Lytechinus pictus: one gene and its partner. The protein of the gene in region 1 interacts with the protein of each later gene in a pairwise test. Links are inferred from orthologs where the notes say so. Each region holds a gene or a part of one and is shown on either strand. Other genes may lie near its edges.

The links.
Region 2: the proteins of histone acetyltransferase KAT2B-like (region 1) and transcriptional adapter 2-alpha-like interact in a two-hybrid assay, tested with the Drosophila melanogaster proteins (2 studies listed by BioGRID). The link is inferred for Lytechinus pictus from reciprocal best matches to the Drosophila melanogaster genes Gcn5 and Ada2a.

What each region holds. Positions count from the first base shown.
Region 1 is NC_087257.1:2,580,014-2,597,317, reverse strand, and holds the start of histone acetyltransferase KAT2B-like, read right to left. Parts: upstream 9,284-17,304; 5' UTR 8,547-9,283; intron 7,853-8,546; 5' UTR 7,767-7,852; coding exon 7,707-7,766; intron 6,322-7,706; coding exon 6,232-6,321; intron 5,875-6,231; coding exon 5,693-5,874; intron 4,004-5,692; coding exon 3,812-4,003; intron 3,415-3,811; coding exon 3,131-3,414; intron 1,630-3,130; coding exon 1,564-1,629; intron 1-1,563.
Region 2 is NC_087246.1:14,999,552-15,016,617, reverse strand, and holds the start of transcriptional adapter 2-alpha-like, read left to right. Parts: upstream 1-8,228; 5' UTR 8,229-8,370; exon of another isoform or gene 8,371-8,891; intron 8,892-15,706; 5' UTR 15,707-15,728; coding exon 15,729-15,869; intron 15,870-17,066. Other genes in the region: leydig cell tumor 10 kDa protein homolog, read right to left, coding at 3,312-3,446, 4,341-4,396, 8,066-8,168. UniProt on the Drosophila melanogaster protein: Component of the histone acetyltransferase (HAT) complex ATAC; predominantly involved in acetylation of histone H4, including at Lys-6 (H4K5ac) and Lys-13 (H4K12ac).

The DNA of each region.
Region 1 (17,304 bases):
TGTGACCTGAAACTCGCACAGGATGATCAGTGATACATGTACTTGATTACTATTATGTCCAAGTTTTATGAACTAGACCAACACACTTTCAAATTTATGGCTGTAATTCAACAAATACCCCAATTTGGCCAAAGTTCATTGACCCTAAATGACCTTTGACCTTGATCATGTGACCTGAAACTTGCACAGGATGTTCAGTAATACTTGATTACTATTATGTCCAAGTTTCATGAATCAGATCCATAAACTTTCAAAGTTATGATGGTAATTCAACAGATACCCCCAATTCGGCCAAAGTTCATTGACCCTAAATGACCTTTGACCTTGGTCATGTGATGTGAAACTCATGCAGGATGTTCAGTGATACTTGATTAACCTTATGTATAAGTTTCATGAACTAGGTCCATATATTTTCTAAGTTATGATGACATTTCAAAAACTTAACCTTAGGTTAAGATTTTGATGTTGATTCCCCCAACATGGTCTAAGTTCATTGACCCTAAATGACCTTTGACCTTGGTCATGTGACATGAAACTCAGGCAGGATGTTCAGTAATACTTGATTAACCTTATGGCCAAGTTTCATGAACTAGGTCCATATACTTTCTAAGTTAAGCTGTCATTTCAAAAACTTAACCTCAGGTTAAGATTTGGTGTTGACGCCGCCGCCGCCGCCGCCGTCGCCGTCGGAAAAGCGGCGCCTATAGTCTCACTCTGCTATGCAGGTGAGACAAAAACTTGAGATTTAGCTTTCAAAAATGTAAAGCAAATTGCGATGCAATACCAGGAAAATTATTCCCTGATTTCATTGAGTATTCTACAGAGAATGGAGGAGAGCTACTGTGAAAGTCTTTGAGAGGATTCCTCCTGAAAACTCAGCACAGAATTTTGGTGAGGTACCTGATACCATTACTCCTCGAATTCAAATTTTATGTACAAAGTATTTACATTCATTCAATAATCTTAGGTTCGTAACAATGTAGACTCAGGGCAATTCCACAATAAAACTGTGATGCTTTTAAACAAATTTTCACATATCAACGGTGAATACATAACAAGATGTAATACTTGAGATTTAACTTTTGTAATCTATCTACGACTACCATCACAAGTAACTTTAAAAAGCACAGAATGAATAAAAATTACAATAATTAATTAGCAATGCACAATTAATTACCACTGTAACACCATGACACAAAAGGGACATACATTTTTTAATGTTTTACTTTCTGACCAAACTCTGTGAAGTTAATGAATATTTCAAAATTGGCTAAATTCCCATCAGATGTAATAAAGACTCGATAATAATAATTAAAATGAATAAGGAAAAAATATTAACATGATGATGATGGCATATAATGTATATAGCTGTACTGTAACACCGTGACTTCTGAACTGCGTGTACAAAACCTATGGATCATCTTCAGAACTCATAGTATTACTCCTCAAATGTGCTATGTATCAATCATAATTATGTTCTGCATCAGTGTGTGTGTGAGACACTTGAAGTAGAAACAAGGTAAAATAAAGATGGTTTAATTACAAATAATTCAAATATTTTACCTTCTAGTCTTTGTCTCTTGATTTCTTCCTCAGTCGGCAAGTCGTCTACTTTACGTTTATCATTCGCTGAAGAAAAAAATTATTTGACAATGAAAGGGATAATAACCATATGAATTTTCTACTATGGCAACAAGTATTTGTACTTTGATTGTATGTATTTTCATATCAATTCAACTCAATAATGGAACAAATCAGCCGACAAATCAACAATTCATTTCATAACGAAAAGGCTTATAACCATAATTTATCAATTTTCAAGTATGGCTACAAATAGTTTGATTGTATGGTTTAATTATCATAGCAACTCAACTCAATAACATAAGAAATCGGTACACAGTACAAAATATCACAACCACACGGTAAGGCTAAAATATTCACATTAAGATATTTATGCAGCTTTGGACTGATGCTGAAATAAGTAAGGAAGTGATTTCATGATTTGCTATTGTTTTTCTTACTATACATAGACAAACACTCATTTGTTAACTATCATGAGGTTTTGACTCACAAATAAAACCACCACAAAATAAGCTCCCCAGTGGTATGCTTCACAATATAATAATACAACCGAATTAAGTCAATATTATGCTTGTTTATTTGCTATTCATAAAACTTAGGTATTGATTATAGGGGTAATATTATGCTATCATACACAATGGGTGATTTCAAATTTGGTGTTGACCTTTTGGTGTTGGTATTAGATTATTTTCACACGAGTATAACACCAAAAATAAAAGATGATCCTGTCAAGTTACTCACTAGGTGTTGAGCTACCCGTTTTTGTGATCTGGATATTTGTGTAATCTCAGAATAGGCATTGGAGCTAGAAAAGACAATTCAAAAATGTGCTTTCAACACCAACACCGGATTTGAAATTACCCAATCATAGAAATCAAAACCAAATAATAATTCACTTGAAGTGATCATTTCACTTTGTTCTGATTTAAAAAATTCTCATTTTGGTTCTTGAAAATGGGCTAAACATTAGGCTTATAGTGTAAAAATACCATCTCAAAAGTTTCAAAGTATTATATCTACAGGATCAATTTAAAACATTGGAGATGTAAACCAAAGTTTCAAAATAATTGGGAGTTGGTTTCAATGACTATGTGTATAGAGCGAATCTGTGCAACACAACACATTAACTCTAGATGAACACAGCATGACCTACATACAGTGTGTACAAGGTATACACTAAATGTACAGTGCAGCTAATAGCGTGTGTATAGGAGATACACACAGCAGAAGGCAGTCAACATAGCCAACAGACTTTTTGAATTGGAGAAAACTGGTCATAAGCTGAGCCTGTCTACTAGACGGTTCTCAAAATCAAGCTAATAAATTGCTACTTGTATCTAAATTACAGTTTTTCATCCTATATTGAAGTCTGTTTCAGGGTTTTTGAGGACAAATACAGGCACTCATACACATGTTTCGTCTCAGTTTGAGAATTTTTTAAATCAGCTGCTCACAAAGTCAAACGATCCCTTTAAGTTTATGTTACAGGGCCCAGATCTTATTCGTGAATTTTAAAAGAAAAAAAATTATTCCACTTTTTGATTCCTACCTTGAGTAGCAGCTAGAGCACTTAACCTTGCCGCTCTCCTTACGTTAACCAACCCTGGACTGAGGTTAAAGGACGTATGACCATCTGACATAGAGGGCGCACAAGTAGTGGTTGTTGTCACAGTGATACGACCAAGTGCTTGGGCAGAGGGATCAGAAGAATCTTCAAGTTCAGTGGTGCCCTCCGGTGAGGCAAGGGGTACAGCTCCTTGGACAGGGGTAAACTCTGGGTCCCAGATGGGTGAATTACTGTCATATGCTTCTTCTTCTAACATTGACAGGAATCTACACAAACAACAATAAATTAACAAACCACTAGTCAGATCTAAAAGGACGCACTCTAGATGATCATCTTCTTGATTTTTAACAGATAATATACAGTAGATTAAAACAATTGCAACAAAACTTATCAAACTAGTAGAATAATAGGTTGGAAAATCCACAAACAACAGCAGTAGTCAGTGGAAAGGCAAAGAGCTTTAACAAACTGATATGAAAATTACATATTTAATTAACATAATTGAAAAGCTGTGTGTAAGGATTCAAGTTGAGAAGTTCACCCACAATTGACTTGCATTCGCTTTCAAAGTAATTGAGGCCACTGCTCCATTATATAGATGAAGACAGAAATCTAGAAATTGCATAAAACAAGAACTCATGAAACAAACAGCAATAATCCTACCTTGGAAAGTGGGTGAGGACCAGGTTACGTTTCTCAGCAGGCATGTTGTCCTTCTCAGAACGTAACATATCTAAGACCTGCCGCCTCATCGCAGGGAAGACAGTCTTGAGAAGCGTTCGACCAAAGATATCCGTTGGTTCATGATGCTGTAGGCTATCACAGAATGATGGCACATGACAGTAGCACAGCCACCTACAGAAGAAAAATGGGTCAGATATCATGGAAGCAGATGATGGCACAATTAAGTATGACCAACACTTTGGCTGCATATACCAACATTTCCCGGTTAGAAACAAGTTTTCAAAAACTTTAAAAAACAAGTTTTTATAAAGAAATGTGTTTACCATCTCATTTCATTGCACCATTTGACCCTAAGGATGGTCCTCTGTTTATACTAGTGGCTGTGTACTTAGACGAAAACGGGTAGTGGAAATGGGAGGTGGAAAAGGGCGGTACAAATGCCTTTCCAATACCTTTATTTTATCTTCCATGAAGAAACGTGTTGCTGGTACTTGTTTGGGATTGCACACAATTTTTTTCTTGTTTTATTGTTCTTTGGGACTGATGTTGCCATCATAAAATGATGAATAGTGACCCATGACTGTCACATAAGAAAACCATAATTAAATAAATAGTACAAGGTTTTACATCAAGCTAATCAAATATGAATTATTCTTAACCCTCAATCTCCCGGGGTATTTTGATTCTTGTCATTCCCGGGGGGGGGGCCCATTATGGCCCCCCCTTAAGATCTCAGCCGTGGATTGCGCGATCACAATGAAAATTTGCATGATGGTAGAGAATGACGTAATCTGCGCCGTTGCATTGGTAAATTTCACTAAATTCATATATTTTTATTTTATATGAATTAATTATGCTAATTTATTCATGAAATCATACTTTTTGCTCTGATTCACTAAATAAAGCTCCTAGAATGCTATTTTTTGGGCGAAAATATTTTTTATAGCATTCCTAACAATTGTGAATGAAAAAAATTCTGGTACCAAGACCGATTTCTTATGTATTTTATTGTTTTTTTAATTTCTTATGTATTTCTTTGTTTTTTTACTTTTTGTTTTTTTATTGTTTTTTCGATGGAAATTGTTCCAGACTTAATTCTGATCATAAACAAGGCAAAATTAATTAAGTTTAATCAGTAAAAGTAGAAATAATGATACATTTATGAATTTTGGCCAAATACACAATTTGCATTGGATTTGTACATGAAATCACATTTATGAGCAATTTTGGGTCTGACATGCACTTACATAATGTTGCGTAATGTCGTAACCGCGTACCCGGGCGTCACAAATTTGGTCTCAAAATTTGCACGAGACTTGAAAGTAAAAAGTCAGTGAGCGGCGAGGTCAAAAATTTTTGCGCAGCATATATATCGCGAAAATTGTCGAGGGGGGGGGGCCATTATGCCCCCCCCCCCCCGGGAGAATTAGGGTTAAATCTGTCCATGTTTGGAGCTAAAGGGAATGTGTTGGAAGGGAGTGAATTCTACAGCCGAGCCGTCCTTGGTATATATGATGATTGATGAAGAGAAGTGTTTGACTTTGGGACAGTGACTATGTGGGGGGGGGGGGGAGCTGTAGTAGAGCGTGTCAAACAGACATTGGGGGCCAAGGGGGGAAGCATTCCAGACAACTCAAGGGAAGGTTTCAGGAAGAAGTGACGGTGGGAGGTACAGAGAAATGCAACACTATTTCCTCTGGTGCTGAAGAGGTTAAAGCCCAATCTTGGAAGGGTTTTCAATTCTCAGGAGGCAGAGTGATTTCCACAGTAACCTATCACGAAGTGCGAGTACACTGATGCCTGCTCCAGCCCGAATTGAGGGATTTGAAAAAGGCTATTGAATCCAAACACTGTACTGACCTTGTGTAGGTAACCTTGTAAGCACCCGCTTCATCTAGCTGGGCTCTTTGCTTCCTAGCGGTGGGTGTCTCAAGCTTCCAATGGTTCATACAGTGAAGGAACATCTTAGCAAGGTCATACATCGTCATCCAATCCTTGTGGACCAGGTGACCAAACTTGTAGTGGACAAAATTGGACACCCCCTGTAAGAAGAAGAGTACAAGAGGGAGGAACATTTAAGGTGAAGGGAAGAAAGACATGGAGGTGAGAAAAAGGGTGAAGGAAATACATTGATCGATAAACCACATAACTGATTCATGCCTCATTCATAGCTCAATTCATATCTTCCTGTAACATTTAATTGAACATCAAGTTATCAACCTACATGAAGGAGGCCTACAAGTTAGCGTACAGATAGAAAATGTTGCGCAAGGGGACAAGGTACATATAAAAGACAAGAGGCAACTATTGATAGTAAATTTAAAAACTTCAGTTATTACTACCAATAAGACATTCATGCAGTATACTATAAAATCAAATGAGTAATCTCTGGAGCTTACTTTTGCAATGCTTGGTTTCTCAAAAGGAGGTCGACCTAAAGGACCTTCTACCGATGGTGAGTTCATCTGCAGGATACATTTCCTCAGGAGCTGTACAAGGAATACATCAAAAAAAATTATGAGTCAAATATGTTTCACATTTTTAGACATGAAATTCTTTATTAAGCTTAACATCATGAAAAGAGCATAAGAAAGGGTAGATTTGTTTTTGCGCAAATATTCACTTTTTTAAAGCTAAAACAACAATAACATATTTGAAAAATGAGATGACATTTTCACATTTTAATTCAACTGCCCAGAGCTGAAATCCCGCCCTTGCCAATCTTCTGCATCAAGTATAACATCAAGTCAAGCGATAAAATTGAAACCCTTCAAGCTTCCATGTTCCGTAGTTGCTCAACAGATAGTGGTGCTGATTTTTTTTTTACCCGATTGCTAAGAAAGCATGTATGCTTGTAAGCAAGTAAGCAGAGGACTGACAGCTTAAGGTCCTCTCCGAGGGACCTGGTAATGAGGATAAATGCCTTACCATAGGGCACTAGCGCACCAAGTGGGAATCAAACCCGAGTGACCAGGATCCAAGCAACCCCCCCCCCACCTCCCCGCTCTACCGACTGACCGATCGCACCTCCTCATTAACCCTAATTCTCCCGGGGGGGGGGGGGCCATAATGGCCCCCCCCTCGACAATTTTCGCGATATATCTGCTGCGCAAAATTGTTTAACCTCGCCGCTCACTGACTTTTTACTTTCAAGTCTCGCGCAAATTTTGAGACCAAATTTGTGACGCCCGGGTACGCGGTTACGACATTACGCAACATTATGTAAGTGCATGTCAGACCCAAAATTGCTCATAAACGTGATTGCATGTACAAATCCAATGCAAATTGTGTATTTGGCCAGACTTCATAAATGTATCATTATTTCTACTTTTAACGATTAAACTTAATTAATTTTGCCTTGTTTATGATCAGAATTAAGTCTGGAGTGATTTCCATCGAAAAAACAACAAAAAGTAAAAAAACAAAGAAATACATAAGAAATATAAAAAAAAATAAAATACATAAGAAATTGGTCTTGGTAACAGAATTTTTTTCATTCACAATTGTTAGGAATGCTATAAAGAATATTTTCACCAAAAAATAGCATTCTAGGAGCTTTATTTAGTGAATCAGAGCAAAAAGTATGATTTCATGAATAAATTAGCATAATTAATTCATATAAAATAAAAATATATGAATTCAGTGAAATTTACCAATGCAACTGCGTAGATTACGTCATTCTCTACCATCATGCAAATTTTCATTGTGATCGCAAAATCAACGGCTGAGATCTTAAGGGGGGGCCATTATGGCCCCCCCCCCCCCCCCCCCCCCCCCGGAATGACAAGAATCAAAATACCCCGGGAGATTGAGGGTTAAGTTTTCATTCAACACTAACACATTTCTGAATACAGAAGGATGTAGTGAACTATACCTTGAACAAATGAAAGTAGACCTGCTTTGTATCGGCATCTTCTTCCTTGTGGACAGACATGAACAGGTGTTCGACATCGACTACGATGCCCAGGAGCCTGTCAATCTCCTCCTCAGCGACATCCTCTAGATGGGATACATGTTCAGCTGGAAGAAATTTGTTCACACATTGTTATTATCCGCGCCTCATAAATGCTATATATTATTATTATTATCATTATTATTATTATTATTATTGGTCATTTTGCCTCCGACGAAGATTCTGCTAGGATCGAAAGCTTAGGCCCCTTTTTGACTTTATATTATTATTATTATCATCATTATCATAAGATTGACCAATATCATAAATGGCTATTTTCTTTATCATGCATTGATATGTACAGATGTGTATATCCCCTAAGCCCTGAAAAAAAAAACATGTTAGAGCCAACCAATGTCTGTGATAAGGGACTTTTAATAGCAGAAAAGCAGTTTGAGTGGCACCCAAGCAATCATCTTGTTGCCTTTGGTTAATGCAAGGCCTGGGAGTATGGAAGATTCAGTATACTTATGTTTGGGCTATGGAACATTTAAAACAATTTAAAGGACACAATGGAGCACTGAACATAAAGTACTAATGTCTTGGTGCCCTGTAGCAATTCAGTTCATGTGTCCCACAGAAAAGTAAATTTTACTATTAATGCCTTTCTTTAATGACCTTGGATGCCTCTAAAGTGACCACTACCTTTCCTTTCCTTTCAGTGTCATAATGGCCTTGCCCCTATGAATCTTAATTCAAGCCCTATTCCTCTATTATTGTTAAAACTTAATGAATCAAGTGTACAGATGGGAGCATACATACCAAGTTGATGGCCACAGCTCTTGCATGGGTCTGATCTACTAGCCAATGGGGTTGTTATATCCAGTCTAGCTGGTTGTGTCGGTGTAGGAGGTGGATTAGGATTCTTCCAACCATTGCACTTGCATGCTTCGTCTGCCTGCAAACAACAAAAGACAACAAAATAGGCCTACTGGTTACCTTCTTCTATCATGCACAATCACAAGTCTGGTGTGGCCTATCACAAAATGATCAAAAGTAGATGCATGCGAGAGCCACCAAATTACGCAGCACTGCACAGGATATACAACGGGAAAGTTACAATTGGTATTTTCTCTTTTTTGGTCATTTTGAAGATACACTCTTTAATTTGCAAGACAATTGGCAAACTTGGAACATAACCACAGATTTCTTTGTTTCTTGCGCAGTTTTTGGCGATCCCGTTTCATAAGTCTGGGCTGAGCTACGCAAGGCTTTAGAAATATGGCGCAGATGCAGATTCTGCCTTTTTACTACAAAATTGGGCTTTCAGAGGGGATTTTGGAGTTGAATTTAAAATTAAAATCAGAATTTCCTGGCACGCTATAAACTGGCTGTGGAGATAGTGCATGTGTGTAACAAAAGTTGTTGGGGCCATTTGTGTGCCGTGGACCATGGTGACGGAATGTGCGCTGTGCTGATTTGTGAAAACAAGATTGGCAGTCAAATCCTGGTGCATGTCAAATCAGTAGAGGTGCTGGTCCAAAAATTGAGATTGTCCCAGAAAACAAGGATATCCTCATAAACCAAGACAAATGTCTTGATGCATGTAAATAGCAATTGTCCTTGTTTATGGGGATATTTTTTTTCACTTACCCCTGCGGGACATACATGCAGACAGCAAATAGGGGATTGAGAGTGCTAAAAATAGATTTGGTGACCTCAATTCCCCCAAGTTGACCGTCTATTTTGCACGACTTGCCATCTTCCAATAATCTTGTTATGAAAAATGATATGTTAAGATTGACTAGCACACTTGATTGGTGTCGGCATTTGACAAGCGAATGACTTTCCAAGATTTCTTGTGTGGAGAAATTTTTGAAAACTGAGACAGTACCTGTAAACTGTGATGATCCCAAATTTCTGACCAGTGCCTGTACTGCAAATTAAGGGTGCATTTAATAGTAATACTACTAGTCTAATGTTAGCTGATAAACAAGCTTTTTGAAAATCCTTCCTCTCCTCGTCTGATTTCTGGCTCTGTCCTGTGCCTGCTTTATTTTAATATTTTTCTTGGCCTAACGTTAAGAAGAGACTCTAGGCCTAGAGATCTATCGACTAGATCATGAGATCTATATCTTGTCTTGTCTTTTTGTTAATGCCAACAATCATTATATTAATAATGGCATATGAATGTCTAGAAATAACCATCGTTTCTGGGGGTTTATTTAACAATTTCAGATATTTTACTACAATCCCCATTCACCGACAGTAGTACGTTAGTGCGAGCCCGTATGTGTAATCATTTCTCCCAATTCAGGCATATAGTGTTTTGTCTAGATTTTTTTCTTTTTTTAGGTCTATATGACTTTATATTATCTTAAACGACGGTCCACATTTTCGTTTGATTCTTATCTTTCTTTTTATAAGTACTACGAACTATGAAATAAAAGATCGAAAATCTATGTGACCGACTGACCGATGATTTATTCCTTATTTTATCAAATATTTTGCCGGAGAGGAAAACTGGCAGATGTATATTGCTGCCTTCTACGTTCGTTGATTAAAGCTTTTGTTTTATCAAGGCTTTCTGATTAGAATTTTCGATATGCGAGCAACAAGTTCCGAGAAACGCAGCGGCACGAATCACGATATACAGCGACTTCGACTGGTAAAAACATCATTCAAGATGGCAATTTACGATGACCGTCAAAAGGATCGAGGGTGACTAAGTTTTCATCATCATTTGAAGGGAATTAGCAGTAACTGCGGTCCAAAGTGTGAAATTTGAAATTTCTTAATTTTATATATTTCCTTGTCAAGTTGGATGTAGATTCCAATTTCTTTTTTGTAAATGAGATATTTTTTAACAAAAACTGTACATTGGTTTTGTACAGGTGTAGTAAATTTGCCATGTACCTGTACTTACCCTATATGTATTAGTATGTGTATAAGTCTATGTATTGATCTATGTTCATGTACATTAAGTCTGTGTATGTGCTGTGTGTATGCGAGGAGCGCTCCTGATTGGAGGAGCCTTTATATGCTCCTACGCCTGCTACGTGTGTGCGTTGCACAGCACGTACACAAGTTGGTGCCTGGTTGGGAGAGGAGAGATTGGATCCAGACACCAGAGAGAGAAGACCCAGAGACGCCATCGAGTGAGGACATCCCAGTAGCTCCCCACTCGGCGCCATGGTCTGCAACCTAGCTATATAGAAGTCAATGTTACCTGAGTTAGTTATCTACCGTGTGGAATCCTTAGTACAAGTGTCAGGTGAGTATTAGTTGTTGTCCGTGTCTTGTACCGTCGGTAATTAACCCATTCGTGAGTTTCGTGAGTCGTAACCCTTGTCAGTGTTGTACTTGTAAGTTTAACCACTCGCCATCGTTTATCGTAACGTATCGTATCTCGTGCCATCACATCATCTGTAACCCACAACTTTCATTTTTACAACATTGGCGATTGCGAGTTTTCGGATCGTTCTGTGCGCCTGTCATTTACATTTTCATCATTTCATGTCCGTTCATACTTCATATTTGCTCATGAAAGTCATTTGTGAGTGATTTTGAAGTGTATAACGAACGGAGAGTGAGTGGGAAGTTTTCCGCTCTCTACCGAGAATTGGAAATTTGCGTGCCGTGATTGCGTGGATTCGCATGCATCTCGCACACATCTTGTTTTAGTTCTACCATTTTTTCGTACATGATATCATTTCTTGTTTGTTACAAGTGGATTTTGATATATATTTGCCATATCTAGGGAATTATTTCATATCCACTACGTTGCATTTTCATTGCAACGCACGTGGTATTCTCTGTGCACACGGTGCACACGCCCTACATTGTTTAGTTGCACTTGCATTTCTCATCGCATTCTTCGCGAGTCTCTTCTATTGTTTGGCTCGCGATCAAGAATTTCGTTCCTTGCATATTTTTGCGTCGCTTACCATCTCGTTGCTTTTGTTTGTAAATTCTTTGAAATCTGCTACTAGGCGAGGATATTTTTAGTCCGCCATTGTCTTTATAAGCTTTCTTTCAAATTCGGAACATTCACACCACACCACTTCCAAAAAAAAGTCGGGTGTGAGTATTTGGTGGATTTATTGGATTGGAAAAGTTAATTTGAACTTGAAATTTTCTCTCGATCCTCAGTAATTATTCCAGATGGTATAAGTTTCCTAGAATTTCATACTCTTGCATATCGGGCAGTGCACCAATATTTTGAGGGCGTAGAGTTGTTCATACATTTCTATAAAATTTCCAGTATATATTTTCTATCGACATTTGGCAAGTGTTTTTTACAGCCAGTTCTGTACACATTGAGTGGCAGAAAGAGTGATAGAAGTTCTAATACTCCTGGTTGCCGAGTTGAGTAATAGTCTGAATTTACTTCAAATTTTTACCCAGCTCGAAATTACACTTGTGTCGGTGGTACGTTAGAGGTGGGTTTTTCTGAATTTCAGATCTTACCTGTTACTAGAAAATAGGTGGGTTTTCTGAGCTTCGGATCTTACCTAGCTGTAACTTGAAAATATACTCTTGAATTTTGTTCTTAATCAATACACATCTTGTGAATTTTCTTTAAAGCATTTCATTCATCACATTTGATATTGTGATTGTTTCTCTTTAATAACTGTGATTGTCATTGTCTTAAATTCAATCTAAAAGTTATTGTTACTCATTGTTGCTAATTGTTCACCCACTCGGTAGAATTGTGTGTGAATATATAGACATCTATAAACTATTCCAGTGTCAGACCCGTTGGGACTGGAAAAAATAGACGTCTGAATTATTTGTGTGAATAGACTTCTGTATAATAATTCCAGTGTCAGACCCGTTGGGACTGGAAAAAATATAGACGTCTGAAATATTTGTGTGAATATACTTCTGTCAATACCAGTGTCAGACCCGTTGGGACTGTGAAAGAGAAGTCTGAATATTTTTATCTTCCCTATCAAATAATTGGTAGTTTGGGCTGGTTGGGTGTAGGCTCCATAATTTTTTTGAAATTGTGTAGTTTTGCAGAGAAACCGGTAGGCTATTAATTTCTTGATAACTTGGATATATTATTCTCTATGTTCTTCATGTTACATGTTTATATGTCGTTTTGATTCGAACTAAAATTGAATCAACACTATTGATTAATCTATGTGCTGATGGTGATTTCCATTGCTTTAGAGATTAAACTATTTGGAAGTCAAGAAGTAATAGATTGTTTTTGACAAAAAATTGACAATCTTCCCTCGATCCCTCGATCGCCTAGCTCACTCGGCGAAACACTGCCGAGCCGAATCACGTGACTCTATTTCATTGATTCTGCTAGCGACTCTCGTTGACAGAACACTGAACAGTCGATCAGAGTTAGAATTTGGGAAACTCTGATTTTATACGATTATCGTGATTGACCGTTGATTTATTCTAATGATTAGTTCTAAGTAGGAACTCGTAGAAATTGATTTTGTAATTTGATCATTCTTTTTGTAGTTAATTTTAGGTCTAACGTCGCGCGGTTTTCAACCAACACCAGCGCAACGCACCTCTCTGTCTGGCCCGTAACTCCAGGCAGGGATAACGTGCACGAACCGGCTATCGTCGCCGTGAAGGCAAATTTTGAACGAGTTTCCTTTTCGTCAGATTTTACTGACAATTTGCTGGATTTACCTGCCAATTGTCTCTTGACTCAATATTTACGCAAACTGAGCTAAATTCATTGATTTTATACTGCCATATTTCGTGTTATACTGTTAGTAGATCTTGTTAAATTTATCTTCCCAAGCTTAGCTTTGTCTGGTGTACCGGGTACCGTACATCGAGTTTAATACTAGACTACCTGTGACCGTTTGTGCAGTAGCACTTTGCAGTTTTGTATCTTTGAGATACAGTCAGTTCGACTGTCTTACTGGAAACTTAAAAGAATTTATTTAATTAATCTTCTGAGCTTACCTTCAGATTTAACGTTAACAATATTAGGTTAAAGTTAACGTTAGTCTTTTTGGATCTTTAATTTTCTTAGTGGATTAGTAAATAAGCACTGTTGTCCTGATTACTAAAAGTCTTGGAAGTTCAATTAATTTCTAACCCTAAAATACTAAAATTAGTCCAGGTTAGAAAAATCCTATTGTCTTAATTTGATATCAAATTCCATTATTACTTGGGATTTTTAGGAATCTTTGCAGCCGAAAATCTTGTTAAAACTTTAATCTCTCGGGTGTTTGTAATTTCCTGACCGTGTATACCTGGAGCCAACAAGTGCAATAGTTTGCTTTGCCTTTTGACTCGGTGTACAGCTGGTTTGAACGAGGACTTGGAATTTAATTTCAGGCCCTTAGTTCTTTGTAGGAAATTTTTCTTGGAGGTTATCCTGGATTGTCTTTCTGTCTGTTTGAAATTCAGGTTTTCTTAGTAGATTACTTTTTAACAAGCATTGTTAGATCAGGAATTTTTCTTTGGAATAATTCTTGCTTGTAAATTTAATTCCTATATGAGAGATTTAATTTCTATATTTTTAAAAGAAAGATTGTTCTCAAGTAAAGGTCAAAAAGTTCTGAATAAATTTTAATAAGGTTCTTGAAAATACTTATTTTAATTCAATCAACTCTTGATTCTGATTTTAAGTGAAAAGTACAGATACTATTGATCTTTGATATCAGAATAATTGATATCAACATTCTTTGAAATTATTTTTTTCATATAGTTGCTTTTGTATTTTTGGAACATCATTCTTGCGCTGAAAATTTGCAAATTTCTATTCAGGCTCTAGAATCCCATTCATCAGTGAAGTACAAAATTCACTGCTGTCATTTTGCGCAAGTTGATTTCTAAATAGTAGTCTCATCATTTTTTAGTTGGTAACTTATCCCCATTCTAAAAAAAAAGAAGAAAAAAAAAGAGGAAAGAAAATTGGATGTGGGATAAATGTGTGTTTGACATTTATATATTGCATTCATCAGAAATAAACATTTATATATTGCATTTATATATTGCATTCATCAGAAATAAACAATTATTATTGAATGCTACTCCTGTAAATCGTTGAGGCTTCGATAAGTTGAATCCTTGTTAGGTTCTTTTAATAGTCGTAGAGTAAGTAAAACTTATTGACACTTCTGCGATTACTCAGAGTAGTAGAAGTTTGATATTCTATTCTACAAGTGTAGTTTCTGAAACTTGAAGCTGCACTGTACTTTGTAAATATACTTTCACTGAATACATCCATTGCTACAGGAGTGTGTACATTTATTATTAATATTCAGAGTCAGACGCTTGTTCTTAGCAGTACAAGTATTGCAGTACTTCACTCTTTCCTTGGCAGTAAGTGTGTTCAGTGACACAAGTATAAACAAACCTAGTTAAGTTCTTTCACTGATCTGCAAGCTTTATTCTGCTAAGTTTAATACACTGTAGATCATTGAATAAATGAAAGTATCATTTAAAATATGTTTAAGAATATGCCTTTGAATCACCAAGGTGATCATCAATAATACTTTCCTGAATTTATCTGGAATTCATAATGATGCAAAGTGAAATCGCCAGAGCAAGACAAGGATTAGTTGAAGACATTATAGACAGTCGTAATACTAGTAGGGGATACTTATATGAGTATTCACTGGCAAATAATCTGTACAAGCTTGGTTATCCAAGAAATTTTGTAGATGAATTTGTTTATGAGAGGTTTGATTGTTCAAGGATACATTATTTATCTGATCTCGATTTAACAGATCTTGTATATAAATGTGCTGATAAATGCCAATATAAATATGCTGAACCCAATACTGGTAGAAAGCCTCAGGCTGATAATTTGAGTACTGATGCATCTTATCATTCTAGGACTGATCATCATGAAGATTGTTCAAGGAATTTTGGTCATATTTCATATGGTTCTTCCAAGGTTGATCAGGATAGATATCATTCACAATATACTGATCACTCTAGATATGCTCCTGGTACTCCCTATAGTAGTGAGGATTCCAAACATTTACATTCATCTTATACTCAATGTGAACCCAGATCAAACAGCAGGGTTCAGAGTACAAATAAACATGATTCTTATCCACAATCTTCCTGTCATACTTCTAATGATCATTCCAAAGATGATGCTTATATAGCAATGATGATGCACTGTATGGCTGTTCAAATGAAATCATTGTCAGAAGAACTGAAATCATCTCGGCATTCATCTACTCTAGATTCAAGGCTTCCGTCCTTAGATCGAGGTTGCGATGCCCTGAGATCTTATTCTCGTGGGTGTACTGGTCCGCGAGTGTCCTCGTTGCCCAAGTACGTGACCTTCGATGGTAGAGGATGTTGGCACACTTTTATACGTAATTTCCAGCTTTATTCGGAAGATCGAGGTTGGGGTCAAGCCCAACAGCTCAATGAACTTTGCTTTTGTCTTGAGGGAAGCGCAATCAAATATTTTGCATCAATTATTGTTTCTTCCAAGCTAAACATTCCCTATACAGATGTTATCAAGAAGCTTGAGCAAAGATTTGCTTCCAAAGAATTTCCTGTCGCACAATTGCAATTTGATTTTGCGCAGCAGGCAACAACCGAAACAAAGGGGGAATGGGCCGACCGTGTCCTATCCTACGCTTCACGCGTCTTTGACGGATTGCCTGAGGAGATTTTTGAGAGGCAAATAGTGCAAAAGTTTTGTCAGGGTTTATTAGACCATGAAGCGGGAAAATACGCTATCAAATCACGTCCTCGGAATCTCGATGATGCCATTTACTTAGTTCGGTGGTTTCAGCATCGGCTAACGTATGCAAGACAAAGGTCTTACGATACTGTCGAGGAGGATCCCAGAGTTAACCGTATGGGTGTTTCCGGGCATGCCTCTAATGCTCAGCAGTCCTCCGGTCAGAACAGTCTGGAGGACCGAGTGCCCAATCTGGAGAAGAAGGTTGATATTCAATCTGCTCCAGGGGCACAGATGAAGTCCTTCCAGTCCTCAGTCCAGGGATCGGTAACTGCTGTCCCAGAGCTGAATAGGCATACAGATTCTCCTTCGACAGAAGACACTGAATCCAAGTTGTCTTGTCGTGATGTTTGTTTTGCATGTAACAAATCTGGACACTTCAAGAGGAACTGTCCAGAACGTTTAACAATAGATGTAGATACTTGTGTTTCTGATAATGTCATTAGTGTAGATGCTGTAACTGTAAATACCACATGTATAGATGATGTAACTGTAGATATTTCATGTGTAAGTGATGTTACAGTTAATACCTTAGATGTAGATAATGTAAGTTTTGTAACTGTGTCAGAGGACAGTCGAGCCTCTACTGAGGATGCCAAGCATGGGCAGAGTTATCTTGTGCAAATGCTTTGGGGAAGTACCCCTCCTAAGCTGTCCATCCTTGATTTCCTCAGTTCTCTCCTCTGGTGGAACCAGAGGTATGTATGTAGTTTCAGTAACGGCCAATTCCTTTTATCTTGTCCGTGGCTCCTTCCTCCCTGGCCACCACCCCAATAATGGAGTACTATCTCCTTGATCAGTTGCTGAAAGTCCTGCAATTGAAATTTCTGTTGTTATACATTGTAATTCCTTTAATAGTCACTGAAGGTGAAGGCACACCTC
Region 2 (17,066 bases), on another chromosome or scaffold:
AGAATAATGTTGAATATATATCATGATACTTCATTGTAACTTTGGCTAGATATTTTTCAGATTAAGAGATTTATGATTTTTAAGTACAGAAGTATGATTTGTATTTATTTCAAGAATGTTTGTTTTGATATATGATTACAAAATTATATTATTTTAGAAAAGTGAGAAATCATGAATTAGAAAATCAATATTATTTTGGGGCTCAAAGAGTTGTCAGATCAAGATATGTATTGTTTTCGATTTAATTTGTAACTATTAAACAGTCACATGATTTGATTTACCTGATCTTTTGATTTACCAGAAAAACATCTATTATTTCAGAAAAAGTAACAAATTATGAATTTTAAAATTACAAATATTTCAGGGTTTATGTAATCGCTTTAGAGCAAGGAAAATTGAAGTTTTGTGTTTCAGTCTTTGCATTCAAATATACTTCATACATCAAGTATATTTACATAAACACACTCTTTGTTCAATTATATCATTTGTGATTCAATTGCTTTACAAAATCCATTGAATATCATTTTGTAAAAGTTCACATACCATTAGATACAATAATTATGAATATGTAGGGTATTTTGTAGGCAAGTTTTAGCTTTCTTATCTACCTACTTTTTGTCCCCGGTCGAGTCCACAAAGTTTTATCCCAGGATGTGTTTTATGGACAATGAGCAACATTTCTTAATATTTTGCTAGATAGGTCTTAAGAGTTTTGCTTTTGCCGTCACTTGGTTTGGTACTATTAGTAGCTCTGATATATTGAATACAAGTTCAATTTTGAACTGTACCGCTTTTCTATTTCATTTTGTCCATGATTTAAACATAACCAGTTTTGAAATGTGACTTTAGAAAAAAAAAATTTTTGCAGATGTGTAAATAAAAAAAAATCATAAATTAAAGGAGTGAAGTGAGTCAAGGCCAAGAATGTTAGAATTAATGTATTTCCCTTTAGCTAGAAACTTGTTAGCACATGACAATCAATTATATTTAATCCTATGACTATGAGCAAAGTCAATACCTTGTTTTCATGAAAGGAATACTTTTAATTAAATGAAATGTATATTACAGGATATATTTGAAGATCTTGTTATTCTAAAGTAAGGACACTGAAAGATTATATAATGTATGAAATGTGGACATCAATATAGCTACCCTAAATTTTTGTAATTTATTTTCATATGTGGAATGGGTAATATTAATAAATTTAAAGTACATGTATGGCAACAGCTTGATTTAATTATCCTTAATTTGTTTCATTCCTGGTCAATTTCTCTTAGACAAATACGATTGTTTTTCTTGATCTGCTTTCACACAAATTTTATCATTACCAACATTGAATTGCTGTTTAAGTATGTCCAATGTAAGTTACAGCAGATACAACTTCATTATGTACTGGTATATAGCCTATTTATTGCTGGGGTTAAACTAGCAGGTATGCTGTCCTAAAACATCCATACGTATTACTTCTGAAGGGATTCATAAGTTTTATCACTGGATACACATTCTTTTTTTCTTTAAAGAGCTGAAAGGGCCTCTTGCCTCAAGTTGGTTGAATATAAAGAACAATAACTCCAGCAAAAATCCATCAAATGATATCAGTTACGGAATTTAAAATGTTAGTATTGACATCACATGCAAAAAGCTCCCAAAATTGGTTTTTAAACATAATTTCCATGAAAAACAATTGTCATAGAAAAGAAGTGCATTCAGTTTCATGCTTCTATAAATTATCCAATCTTCATTATCCCTGAAGATGGCAATTTATTTGTGTCTTGTGACATCACAAAATCAAAGCTTTTAAAAGTAATAACTTTGTAATTTTTGATGGATTTTCGGTCTACCTTCATTTTTAGTGCTTTTTGTGGCTTTATTGAAACCATCTTGTCATTAAAGTGAACTTCGCCTATCAATATGACCCGAGGCAACTTAATTTCTCAAAGAATATCAAATATTGTACATGTATTGAAGGAGGGAGTACATATTTGATATTCTTCATCTTTTAGTGCCCTTGAATAATTGCCTCAAAGGCTGAATAAAGATTTTATAAAATAGTGTAATTATGAGATACATACTATGTAATGAAATATCTAATGTGAAATATTGTGTATTGAAGTAAATGTAACTTTCAACTTGCATAATGTGTATTTTCAATATGAAAAAAAATAAATAATGAAATTAACTCAAACAAGAAATGTCACTACTTTTTTTCCATTTATTTTGTGATTTCATTTTCAAGCTGTTCTTTGTACATGTAGAGGTAAATTTGCTTCCTAGTACGTCAAACTTCTATAAGTCAAATATTCGCCCAAGTCGAAGCATTTTTTTAAGAAACCATACTATGCGAATTATGCCAAGTCAAATTTCTCCAAAGTTGAACATATTTCTGTGGCCCTAAAATATTTGACAGAAGCAAAGTTACATGTACCTGTATATATTATGTACATTCAATTCATAGGTTGAAAGTATCAACATAATATTATGCGAATGATTCTTTAAAAAGTGAAAATTGTTAAGCCAGTATTTCTACTTTTTTTTCAACAGTTCTTGTAACAACTGTTTTCCTTTTAGAAATATTGCCTACAAGTAGCATAAACATGAGTTTGAAGAGACTGATTTCAGTGTCTCGACCTTTAACATATATGAGAGTATTTTTAGTTTTTGGATTCAAAATGTAAGCCAATAGTTGAGAACCAAAGTGGTCACCTTTTCTACTGGTCAGGAGGCTACCCCCCCTTGGTTTCAAAAGATTTTTAAGTTGCATTTTAATCCTGGTATTTAGGTTATTTTGTTATCTATGGCTCTATGCTGACAATGTTACATGCACTTTAATTTTGGGTTTTTTAAAGTTTGGATCTCCATGTTTTTAACTAAATTCATTTAAGGGAGAGAGAAAGGTATGTGAGGGAATGTTAATCCAATCAAGCTCACTCAACCATGACACAAGTTCTTTCTTTCTGATTAAAACTTCCATGTGGAGAGTAAAAAAAGGGCTTAAGCTTAAACAAATTCAGTGGAACTGGCCCCTAGAGTGATTCTCAGAGTATGTAAGTGTTCTTTACATCAAAGTTCAACATAACTGCCTACTCCTTGAGTTATTATGAAAGCTTGTTGAATGTCCAGTATCTGCAATCACCATCCATGAAACACTGTTTGCTCAATTTCTCTGGTTTTGAATCCACATGTTACTTGTTTGAAGAAAATTTTGCTGAAATCTTTTACACCAATTATGCTGTTCTCTGCTCTCTAGTTTCCCCCAGAGTCCTTGATGCACGATCGTTATTCATCAATCCTTCAAAAGTTTCATGCCTTGATCATTTTTTTCCTTTCTTCTTTGAATCACCTCCCCCTGATGAAGGTGCAGCTACCAAAAGCTTCTTTGGTTCTTTAGAGGCAGCCTGGGAAATGATTTCTTGCTCATTCCGAGAGCTGATTGCCTTTGTGATATTCTGCAAGGGAAAAGAGGATGTTAAATGTCAATCGTATCATTAGTAAAAAAATAACAGTAAAAGGATTATCAGTTCAGTTTAATACATTCACTTGTGAAAGAAATCCACTTGATAAAATATTAATGAAAATTTATCACCATCCCATCTCACCCTGAATCAGATGCCATCCATTCCCCTATCTCCATCAAAGAAACAATAGTTATTTTTAAATATGCTTAAATATGTATAAAACAAAATAATGGAAATACTATTCTAAATTAAAGCAATTCTGCAACCAGAAAAGTATAGTGTTTTCTTTGTTTCTAGGAGACTTGACTTGGACATAATAACCTGTATTTATTCTGCTTATATAAGGCAAACCCTACATTTAAGTCAATCAATCATGAATGATCTCAATGGTCTGTTTAATTAGATTGGTAATCTGTACATCATTGCTAAACTTCATATCATTTGAAATTAATTCTCGAGAGAGACAGACAGTTACCCAAGCATCAGTTTTAATGTAAAATTTAAAATCTGTAGAGTTTTAGACATCAACATGTGTTTGTTCTACTTCAATCTGAGTAAAATTGAATTCTTTTGTCCAATATAAAGTAACATTCTCCTTGCCTCATAAGCTTAGTCATTATCTCAGAGGACCTGCTCCGATTTTGGCCAAATCAAGCAAAGTCTGTGATTAATCACAGACTTTCAATGGTACACTGTGACTGGCAGAGCCCTAAAGCAGATCAGATATCACAGGTATGTCTATCACTTCTCAGCAAATAGTAATCAACTTTCCATGAAATCTCAAGAAAGATGACTTTTATATACAGGTCAATATCTGAATTGAAAGATATTGATTTTCCTTTTTCCATTATATTTCCTTACTGATGATCTAAAATAGTTTCTCACCTTCTTCAGTTTAGCAGCTTCTATCTGCTTTGCTTTCTTAGGAGCGATGAATCTGGCTGAAATAAAATAACAAAAACAGTGAGTTGTAAAATCTCTCTTCCCCATGACATTAGCATTTTCCCAAACATTTAGACAAAGAAATTCAGAAACATTTATAAACATTACTGCAACTTATATATTCCATTTTAGTGACTTGAATTTGAAAGTGGTATTTAATTGCCAGATATGTATTTTCTATGTGAAAAACAAAAAAAAATCAAAATCAATGATCCAATCTAATGTTTAGAGAAAAATGACAGAACAAATGTCTTGACCAATTGCTCTGTGAGAAAATTGAAACCATGTTGAGTTTTGATAAAAATGCAGAGCGATTAGCCCAATGATTTCGCATGATTCTAACCAAAGAAGACACATAACAACCATAAACTTTAAATCTGCATGCTGCAATACATAGATTGATAAAATTTAAACAAAATCAGATCATGATTAATGAATTTCAATGACAATTCACCAGGATTCACGTACAGGCCTCAATATGCAGCCTTTCTCATCGTAATCCATGAAGCCTTGAGAGTGGGTTAATGATATTGGTTGTTCTGTTGGCTCCACTCATACAGAGACCAAAGTTCTTACTCGATCTGTACAGGGACTCAATGGCCATATGTTTATGTATTAAGTTCGGATAAACCAGGGAAGTGGGAGTTGCGCGACACTCAACAGCCAAAGTAAGTCACTGTTTTTTTTCCTTTTAAGTTTATTTTTTCCTGTTTTGGTGCATTTCAGGCCAAACAGAATGATTTATTTTGGTCCAGTTCTTTTTATATATTTTTATGAGATAAAGACAAAAATCGATTAGCCCCGTCGGGGGAATTTTGCATTGTAAACCCCCTAATGGTGGCTGCATGATCATGAGCCGTCTGTGTACAAGGAAAAATAAAAATTTTTAAAAAACTCCTCGAAACAGATGGCTGCCAGCTGTACTTTAAAAAAATCTTATTCTTTGAGTACAAAATGTAAGGAAATATAGAAAAAAATAGATAACAAAATTGAATTCATATCTTAGTGTAATCCAAAGACAAAAAAGGCTTCAAAAATATAAAGTGACCCCCCCCCCCCTATACAAACTGCATTGCAGTGGCTAGTGTTGCCCTGTATGTAGTGTAGTGTATAGCGTTACTGATTTTTGCGCGAATAACGCAACGTGAGGGATGATTATCAGATTGACCCAGCACAGTGTTTCCACTCTTCCCGAAATTCGGAAAATTTTGACTTTTTCCAGGAAAGGTTCGGGAAATGAAAAAATTCCAGGAAATTTCGGGAAATTCAAAATTTACAATTAAACGTAGCAACTATTATGGGCACTAGTATTCAACCCGGCATATTTCAAAGATTTGGACAAATTCCCCCAAATATTTAGAAAAAGGGAACTATCTTAATTTCATACCTTTGTTATTTTCAGGGTAATCTGTTGTCAGTATTTTCTTAATCAATCTATGCTCGGAGGAGCGAATTATGCGGCCATGACCTTTTGCACTGAATTGCACTAGTATTCAACTTAGTGATGATAGATAGTGAATCTCAAAATGGTTTAGATTGCTAAACTAGATCTAGATCTATGTAAGTCTCTGGCTTTGACTAATTCCCTGTTTGGTCTCATCTCAAATGGTCTAGTCCATAGTCGGATGGGACAAGGGCAGATTGAGAGACAGGGCCATCTTTCATCGCTAGGTTGAATACTAGTGCCAAAAACCATCGCCGTATAATTCAATCGCCCGCGCACACAGTCGATAGTTGAAGAAAAAAAATATAAAAAAGCAAAAAGAATAACCAGCATGCTCTTGAAAATAAGACAGGTCTGAAATTATAGTAAATTCCATATTTCTATACATTTGAGGAAACTCTCCAAACGGGTTGAATACTAGTGCCCTTACGGTACGTAGCTCAAAATTTTCCGCTCTCGCAAAGTCACATTTTGTAATTTTTGTTCCTATAGGTCTAGTCTAGACCCCTTTATGGTAGGGGGTCCTAAAGCTACACACCACTCATCGCGCATGCAGTTTTTATGGCAAATGTGCACTCTGTGTGTGGAACTGTGACTGCAGAGTGACAAACGATTCTTATTCAATTTTTTCTACTGTAAATGTAAATCTCTAAATGCAGAGAAAACCAACAACTGTTTGGAATTTTGAAATTATATTCGCTTTAATTTCATTTTATCCTCTAATACTGTGAACATATTTTAGAAATACTATTTTTTTGCATGATAAATCAAGTGCGTAGCTTTAGGACCCCTTCTCTACATTTAACATTAGGCGGCGAAATCAAGAGGTGTTGGAAAACACGGCGGGATTTTCGTAGTTTGTGATATTTTCTTCTTGGTTAATGATCTTTAGAATGTTAAGTTTGCCACAAATTGGTGAAAGGTAATTTGTTCAAATACTAAAATTGGCATATCTTTTATCTTTACTACTAACAAAGTTAGTGTGAGTGGCTGAGTGCCCCCATCATACCTATTTAAGGACGTTCCACAGTTAAAGTGAAATCCATGTCATTTTCACGAAACTTTGCACATAGATACTTTAGAACCTTAATGTTCGAAATATGCAAAAATTAACATAGGTCCATGTGCTTGATTTTTTGCTATAGAAGTTCAAAGTTCACCCAAATTGATGTTCTTAAGAATTGCGCATTCAAAAGAATTTGGCATTTTTAGACCGCCCAAGATTACTACAATGAGTTTAAACCTGTATTACTCAGTCAAAATACATGAAAAAGTCATCAAATTTCGCAAGAGAGTTAATAATTGTATCATTAGAACGGAGAATATATTCATAGTGCTATTTGTTTGCAATTTTAAGTTTAACAGCACTGTCAGTTCTTAAAAATGGCGTAAAAGATAACAAAATCCCAATCTAAAAAATGTGAAATTTCAGTAACAAACTACAAAAGTACAATAAATGCTGCACTTTATTCAAAATCCATGTCATTTTCACCAAAATTTGTAGAGTTGTAGAGGAAGGTATACTTAAGAGGAACAAACATTAACGTTCATGTGCTTGTTTTTAAACTATCAGTATTTTTATTAGAGCAAATGTGCTTTTTAAAACACCAAATATGCGCCGAATGCTTTGTATCTATGTGAAAAAAAAATCAAAACCACTCTACCATTTATTCAAACTCGGGGTAATATTTGTGATTCTTGGCAGCACTGCAGAGTAAAGTATTTTGAAATTGTAGAGAATCTTTTTTTGAATGGTCCATGGAATAATTCAATTTTTTAGCTTCATGAAAAAACGCATCGGATCTGCAGTTAAAGTGCAGAAGATGAGAAAAATCAGCACATACCCGCAGCTAATTAATCACCTGTTCACCCATTGTGACGTCAGCGCGCAGAGTGTAAACTATGCGCAGATCATAATGCGCACAAACATGTTACTGTGGAACGTCCTTTAAAGAGGGCGTGAACAAAAAAATGCTGAATTCCTTGATTTGGCCACCTGGACCAAATTTAGGCTTGCTATATTATTCATTTATTGCCCGATTTTTGTTGAAATCAAACATGAAAATTCCAGGAAATATCTATGAATTTCAGGAAATTTGGTAATTGGGATTCAATTTCGGGAAATTTATTTTGGAGCTGTGCCTGTGGAAACACTGACCCAGCACAAATTCTTACGCGTCGGGCAATGCATACCGTAGATCCTCTCGAAACTAAATCTACCTACCTCCTCTCTTTGGCCCTTTCTTCTTCTGATGAGCATATTTTTGCTTATTTCGACTACCCTTTCCTGGGACTTGCACTTTTGTTTTGATCTTTCCTTGAACCATCCTGATACTGTCACTTCAATATTCTATATTTTAATCTAAAATCGGTCTGGTTTTTTTTTCGAAAACGGAGCGACGTGAGCATGGTGAGTGACGTCGAAAGGTGAAAGGGAAGGGACTCACTCGATTTACACATGATTGATAAGATTAAGGCTAAGCTAAGCCAGAGCAAGGACGTAAAAGGCAATAAAGATAATTATCAGAGGTAATTATAACTACCATACATACTGAAAAGATATAAAGATTAACATAAATAAGTCTTTCTCTCGACTAAGTACCGTATGTGACGTGAATTCATGCGAGTATGAACTTGACATTTACAACCAGCATGTGTTGCGAGCGATTTAGCTCGTGTACGATTTTAACGGATCGGTCACATAATTGTGCTTTAGACCCTTTACCTGCGTGTATAAAAAATCTTACGTACAGGTGATAGGAATAGACTAATAACTTCGGGTGAATGAATATGAATGAAGCAGTAAAACTAAAAAGGAGAGAGCATCCAACCAACTCAAACAGTTGGCCCGGCTTCTGTTGCTTTGGCCTAACTATTTTTCCTGGTAAAGCCTACAATAACAGTTAACACAAACCAAGCAAACTATTTTTTTTTTTTTTGGGGGGGGGCAAGCGCAAGGCCGCCCCCCCCAAAAAAAATTCACAACCAAACTGAGGGCGAAACTGAGTCTGAGTAGGGCAAGTGCAAGCCAAGGTCCCAAAAAATATAGAAAGAGAGAAAAGGAAAGGGAAATGGAGGTCTTCTAAACTATTATTGTCTATTCTCTGAATATTAATCAAAATCTATAAAAAAAAACTTTTTGGTCCAAATATCTGCCCCAGCAGCCCCCTACAATTTTTTTTTTGGGGGGCTCATTATAAGTGTATTACGTCACTGGATGTCATTAATGGAGAGCATGAAATTTAAAGGTTTCGATCTGAACCAAGCTTGCCAAACTTGGCACTTTCGAACCGAACACAAAGCCAAAGGCCTGGTTCGATGGTTCGGTAAAAAATAGGCCCATTTTAATTGAAAGTCCAATTTTGCCCTATGCGCGGCACCGGTAATCCCCTCACAGCTGGGTGGTCCATCACGGCACCATCACACTTACGGGCGCAGGCCGCTTGTAAATCAGAGAGGGAAAGTTGATCGAATGCAATTTAAAATGCTGATATTCGGACCCAATGCCAATGGGTAATATTAATATGAATAAATTTTACAGATCATAATCAACGAAATATCATAAAAGTTAGGTATAGATCTATCTCTTCAAATGCGTCAATTCTAATATTTTTTTCCGGAACGGTCCGGAGCTGAGGCCTGTACTGTGTAAATGTGTGAGCATGGAGCTCCCGCATCACACTCACCTTCAACTTCTTCTTCTTCCAGTCTGGAACAGTCACTGGCGTATTATCGTACCTTGTGCTTGTCAAGTGCTGAGTGTACGGTGCAGCAAAAAAAAACAGGACTGAAGCTTAACAAAGCTTGACACACTGCACCTTCAGCTTGAAAAGCTCCAATGACCAATGAGGTGCAGTTGACAGCGACAGGCGGTAATGAGTTCCACAGCCTGATAGCTTCTGGGTAAAATGATGTTTGAAGAAATCGTGTCCTTGCATAGGGAACCTGGAGTTTATGTGGATTTCCACGAGTGCGTACGTGGCGCTGCTACTTACACAAATAGGAGTATGTGGGGCACTGGAGGATACTCGACGATGCAACAATCGCCGTAGAAATGCCCCGTAGATTCGTCATTATATTTTCAAGGCGAACATGACCGAACAAATAATCTTAGCATCGAAATCAAGTTTGAAATGCTTTTTCCCCTCATTGTAATTTCTAAGACAGGAGCATACAGGAAAAGGTTTATAAAATATAAAGCAAGAAAAACAGACGAACATAAATAAATAATATCCAACTTTCTCCGTTCGTACTATGGCTGGATTGAATTAGATTTCAACGTATTTGGTGTGTGTGCAAAGGGGATCATCTCAGAAGTTCAACCTTACATCAAAGATGTATCAGGAATCCGTACGAAGAGATATGAATGTTGGAAGGCCAGCAAGTCATGTTTCGATTTTGAAAAAAAATCAGAGCTCGAAGGGAAGTTATGTGGAAGAACGTCGTTTACGGTGGTGCCTCGCAGGGACCTTAAAAAAATCACTGACCTGAAATTTTACGAGCGGGCTTATCGCGTTACGTAAGCGGGCTCTTACTTTCACCTGGCGGCTCGCAGATTGATGTTAGATATCGTTCCTTCGCCAGAAGGGAGCGATAACAAAGGATTAACAGAGGAATTGGAAGAAGGATCTCCTTCTGTGTTTTATAGCTTCATGGTAATATGATAACTTCCGTTGGGCGTAAGTCATATCGATTATTTTGTAAACAGCTTTAATTTGATTGAACATCGATGCATTGAAATTTGAAGGCGGGAAAATCAAGTCAATTTTTGTGCTCCGTCATGACCGTGCTGAGGGACGGGTTAAGCGTTGCACAAGTTTGATGTTTGATGTTTGAAAATCAATCCTGACATGATATAATTTTTTTTAGAAAAGTGCACCCATCACTCGTTCAGGAATTTGTGATGTCCGTCATTAAAAATGGAAACGAAATACAAATGTTTCACATCAAGCCCTAAATTCATATTATTAATTATCATTTGCAAATTATTGTCAAAATATTATGATTAAATAATGTTCTATGGTCATAATAAGAAATATTGTTAATGAGAACAAGATTTATTTTACGTTGGTCGCATCATGATTTTCCTTTAAGATCAATTTCGATCTTGTTTGATTAAAGCACAATGTGCATGCGCGATCGATAACGATAAATTCCATTCATGAATTCATCGTGCATGAATTATCTCAGCATTCAGAGTGAGACTCGAACTAGGATAAAAATAAGCTTCAAATTAATGGTGAATAGGCATCATAATTACACAATATGTTTCATTTTGTGGAAATATAGATCAAGTGGGTAGTAGTTATTAAGTAGCCTACTATGAAAGCATGGCAAAATCTCGTACATTGCAGCTCATTGACATTGGTTTATAACGTTAACTGCATTGTATGTAAACTGCATGCACGCTGCCCGCGCCCCAGGCCCAAGACAGATTTCATTCATAGAAATTAGTGAGTGAGCCCTGTGGCTTGTGCAAATACAGAACTTCAAGGGTGGGTATGAATGTGGAATTTTAGTGATTAAAACTTGTGCAGCATCTGAGAACTTAAAATTACTGTGAGGCTGTGAGCATGGTAATAGCCCAATATGTATGATGGGGTGACCATAATTTGCGCACATTTTAAATATTATCATGAAGTTGATTTTCAATCATTAATTTCTCACAGCTCACACAAAATTAATCAAAACCATTAATACCAAAGGGAAGGCAAGATCCCAAAGTCCAATTCGCTTGACGGAATTATAAAGTAGGTCAAGGGTTTCGCTGGTATCACGATCTCAAAATTCCATGGCGATCGACTAGTGCGCGCTCGGCTGAAAAAGTGTCATAAAAAAGTGTGACCTTAATTTGCGCACAATTGTTTTGCAAGGATTTAGAAAAGAAATCTAGCAGACAAAGGTAAGATAATTATATCAGATGGAGGTTAAAATGCCATGAATTCGGTTGGTATCACATTTTACTTATTTGGAGAGCTCTGCTTGCAAACTGGCGATTTCTTGATGCTTGTCGAGAAGATCGAATTTTCTTGGAGCGGACGCAAAAGGTGACAAAATTTGCCGATGTTTTGCCAATATTTTCACAAATAGAGACCTTACCCTCAAGAAAATTACCATACTAAGTAATTTGGAGTCGCTCTTTCTGTTGGTGATATCAGTTTTTCAAGATATTAATTAGAAATTGAGATATTTAACAGTGCGCAAAATTAGGTAACGCGCGAATTAAGGTCACACCACCATACAGAGCATAATCATGGCAAATTCTGAAGGAGATCTGTCAAATCATGACATGCAAATGTGATAATGTTTAAGCTGTATATTCATAGTAGGGGAGATGGGGTCAGTTGGAACATTTTTGACAAAAATGGCTGTAAAATCCAAATAGATTTTATTCGAGAAAACAATCAATATATCAGCTTGAAGCATATATCTAAGGGCTTCAAATGTACCCCATGAAATTTTTAACTCTATTATGGTTACCCCGGTACTGAAAAAAAAATCCACCTTGAGCAAGACCATCGCAAACGTTCCAACTTACCCCAATACGGGGTAAGTTGGAACACTGCATAGTCAATTAAGAATTATACTAAAACTTCTTAAAACTAATATTACATGGTTTTAGCCTATTTGCTTTATTTTTTTCAAGTTCAAAATACACTACTCAAAAAAAGTTAAGGACCACTTTTTAATGTGTGTATACAATTTTCAAACCGGGTGTTGTATTTCTAGAAATACCCGAATATGGCTGTCTTGAATCTCCTCAAACACCCTGTAACAATTTCACACATGGGTGGTTTCAGTTGTTGCATGATGTCTCTCGCATTATTGCATATCCTGAAAAGTGGGCCCATTGTGAAGTGGTACAAATGTGGATTCAAATGCATTTTCTGTCTTTAGTCTCTACAATCAACAAATTGCTGACAACAGCAATGCCAAGATACAGCTGTCCAGGATGCCATCAAACACAATGAAATCAATTTCACACATTCAGTTCTTTCATGTCTCTTGCATCATTGCAATGTGCCCGTAAAAAAGTGGCTTCCAAAGCATTTTCTGTCTTTAGTCTCTACAATCAACAACTTGCTGACAATAGCAATGCCAAGATACAGCTGTCCAGAATGCCATCAAACACAATGACATCAATTTCACACATGCAGTTCTTTCATGATGTCTCTGGCATCATTGCAGTGGGCCATAAGACAAGTGTCTTCCAAAGCATTTTCCGTCTTTAGTCTGTACAATCAACAACTTGCCTACAACAGCAATGCCAAGACACCACCTAAGTGAAACAGATGTAGCCAGAGCCCTAGGGATGCTGGAAGCTGGCCTCAGTCAGCGAAGAGTAGCCAGAATGATGGGCGTGTCACACAGTGTCATTAGCAGAGCAAATCAAAGACACCGAGAGACAGGGCTATACTCCGAGAGACCCCGCAGTGGCCGACCAGTTTCGACAACCCCTAGAGATGATCGCTACTTGACGAATCTCAGCCTCCGCAACCGCTTTCACAGTGCACGCCGCCTCAACAATGACTTCGCTGCAGCAACTGGAGTGATTGTTTCCACTCAAACAATCCGTAACCGACTTCACAGAGCCAATATGCATGCCAGACGGCCAGCTCAGTGTGTCCCACTCACCCCTGCTCACAGAAGAATTCGTCTCAACTGGGCCCGGGAGCATGTCAGATGGACCAGACAGCAATGGCGTAGAGTTCTGTTCACAGATGAGAGCAGATTTTCCCTTGACCACAATGATGGACGTTCGAGAGTCTGGAGGCGACCAGGAGAGAGATTTGCAGACCCCTGTATTGCAGAACATGACCGTTATGGGGGAGGCAGCGTCATGGTGTGGGGAGGCATCACCTACGCCAACCGTACTCGTCTCTACGTGGTCCCAGGGGGAGCAATGACAGGAGTGAGGTACAGGGATGAGGTCCTTGAACCTATAGTGGTGCCATTTGCAGAAAATGTGGGACAAAACATCATTTTCATGGATGACAATGCCCGTGCCCACCGAGCTAGGGTGGTGACCGAGTTCCTTGAGGGCCAGGGGATTGAGCGTATGGAGTGGCCAGCGAGGTCCCCGGACTTAAACCCAATAGAGCACGTCTGGGACATGATGGGGAGGAGTCTCGAGCAGCTCGAAGCCCATCCACTTGGACTGCAGCAGCTGGGTGTGGCTCTGGAGGCTGCATGGGATGCACTGGACGTCAGAGACATCAATCGCCTCATCAGCTCCATGAGACAGCGCTGTGAAGCCGTTATTGCTGCAGGAGGTGGTCACACTCGTTACTGAACTGCCTGAAAGACACTCAGACATTCGTTTTTACCACTTCATGTCGGTAGCTGATACCCCTCGGGGCCCACTTTTCAGGATGTGCAGTGATGCGAGAGACATTGTGCAACAACTGAAACCACCCATGCTTGAAATTGATTACAGCGTGTTTAAGGACATTTAGGACAGTTGTACTGAGGTATTTCCAGAAATAAAACACCTTGTATAAAATCTTTATGTACGTTTTAAAAAGTGGTCCTTAACTTTTTTTGAGTAGTGTATTTAAAGTGTGGATTTGTCGAACTTTATGTTTTCTATTATACAGCCACTCACGCAAGCACACTGTGTAGTAGAATTCCGCATATTTGGGTGCATTTGATTTTACATGAATTAAGTGTACTATCAGCAATTTCATGTACTTCTGCATCAAATTTACAAGACAAAAATTAATTGTAACTTATACTTTTTTCATTAATTACTTAAATGCAAATAAGCATATGAAATTTGCCCTAAATTTGTTTGTTTTTGCCTTTAACTCTATTTATTAAGCTAGTAGAATGCTAATTTTTGGTGAGAGTATCAATTTTCACATTTATAACAAATATCCACAAAAAATTGAAAAAAATATAATTTCTTATGTATATTTTGTTTTTTTTATTTGTATTTCTTTGTTTTTTCGAACCTTTGTTTTTTCCGATGAACTTTGTCGGGACTCTTTTGCGATCATAAATAGCATAAAATAAATCTATTTGAACCAACAAAAGTATAAAATAATCATACATTTATGACTTTTGGTTGAAAAACACAATTTGCATTGACCTTGTACATGGAATCACGTTTTTGAGCAATTTTGGGTCCGACATGCACGTACAAAATGTTGCGTAATTTCGAAACCGCGCACACAGGCATCACAAATTTTTTGCTCAAATGATGCGCAAGACTAGAAAGTAAAAAGTCAGCGAGCACTGTAGTAAAAAAAATTGCGCGACGAGGGTGGGGGGGCTCAAATTGACCCCCCCCCCCAGTTTGATAAGGGTTAATATTGCATTAGGGGCCTACAATAGGCCTTAAATGCACACTCAGACCTGTTCAGAAGAGTGTGAAATACTTTATATATTTTTTTCTCATATCCAATGTTTTTATTCATAATTATGTTTGGGGTAAGTTGGAACATGTTCCAACTAGCCCCTTCAATTTTGTTCCAACTGACCCCGGAGGCCCATTTGACATTTATAAGCTTACAGCACAAAAAAGGGACTTCACCATGGCATATTAATAGCCTCATTTTGTAGCTTGGTACAAGTGTCTATTATACCCCCAAACTGGCCAACTTGATCTCTAAACTTCTCTGAGATAATAAACATTTCTGAAAGAGAAAAAAAATACTCAGAAGGTCTTAAAACAAAAATTCCTTTCTAACTTCACCAGGCTTGTTGCACATGTGTTGTCTGTAATGGCTGTTGATAATGACAATAAATTGAGGGCAGTATTGCAGAAATTTATTTAAAGACGTTAAAGAAAATTACAATGTTTCAACTAACCCCGCGTTCGAACTAACCCCGGTTTCCCCTATTTGTTATTTTGTTATTCTAGCTAAGATTGACCAGCTGTGAGAATGATGGCATCACTCTCGGGCTTGGCTTTTGGACTCCAGTCGATGGACCAGCCTCCCTGTCCTGGTTGCTCCTCATTTCTCATGGAACCTTACATTAGATGTGCAACATGTGGTCCACCTAAAATTGATTTATGTCTCCAGGTTTGTCCTATTTGTACTTGGTGAATAGATTTTTAGGGGGTGTATAAGGTTTATATTTTGATAGGCAAATGGATTTGGCATCATATTATGAACAATATTATATTTATTATCTTCATCATCATTTTCATCATCATTGTCATCATTATCATCATCATCGTTATCATAATCACCATCATCATTATTGTTATTACTATTATTGCTATCAAAATATTATAATTATTGCCATGGTTATAGGTTAAAGGAAAGTATTGTGGAGCAAACTAATTCTATGTTAAGTTGGCACACACATTGGTCTTGGAGTAAAGATACATTTTCAAGCTTGTCAGGTGCTCTGTTGCCATGGTTGTGTTGCAATTAATCAGAAGGGAAAAAATCAGAGTGGACTACTTCCACAGTTTTTGCCAAATGCTTATGAGACTTGGTAAAAATCATCTGTTCTATTCTATATTGTTGGATTTTTGTAAGCTTCAAAGAAGTTTCCAAAAATTACCAAATGGTTTTTAGGCCAATAATGTGGCTTTTAAAGCTTGCAAACGGAAAAATTAATTCTGGGCCTCGAGGCGATTTCGCACCCGAAATGCTCAAAAGAGCCCTGGAAAATTATCTTTTGCTGCAATGGTAAAATTTATGCAATGCTGTAGATTCAGGTATGCTTGCAATCCTTGGAAAACACAATGTACAGACATGTCATAATTTAAGATGAAGGGCGTGCTTTCTGAATAAAATATGGAAGTGTGCACTGAAATTATTGCGAACTATATATATGGTAGTTTAAAGGGATGCAGGGGCGGAAATCTCTCCCAAAAGGTAGGGGGGACACGGGTGGATCCAGCCTTCGCCAATAGGGGGGGGCGGAAATTTGTTTCAGCCATATTTTCACCGATCGGCAGCTCGAAGATGATTTGTGTTTGTTTCTTTGAAGGGGTAGTCCTCATTAGTCACTTCTTAGCTTTATTCTTATAAATTCATATATATATAATATCATAATCCTTATTTATATGATGCGAGCGCGAAGCGCGAGCTAATTTTTTTGGAAATTTTATGTATTTTTCCTAAATCTTGAACATTCTGGGCAATGTTTGTTATCCTGAAAAAAATGTGTATGCAACTTAATAATTACTACGAATGCAAAGCACGAGCAGAAATGAACTGATGGAAAAGATACCTGTTAAAGACTGCGTGCAGTTAGCATTTAAC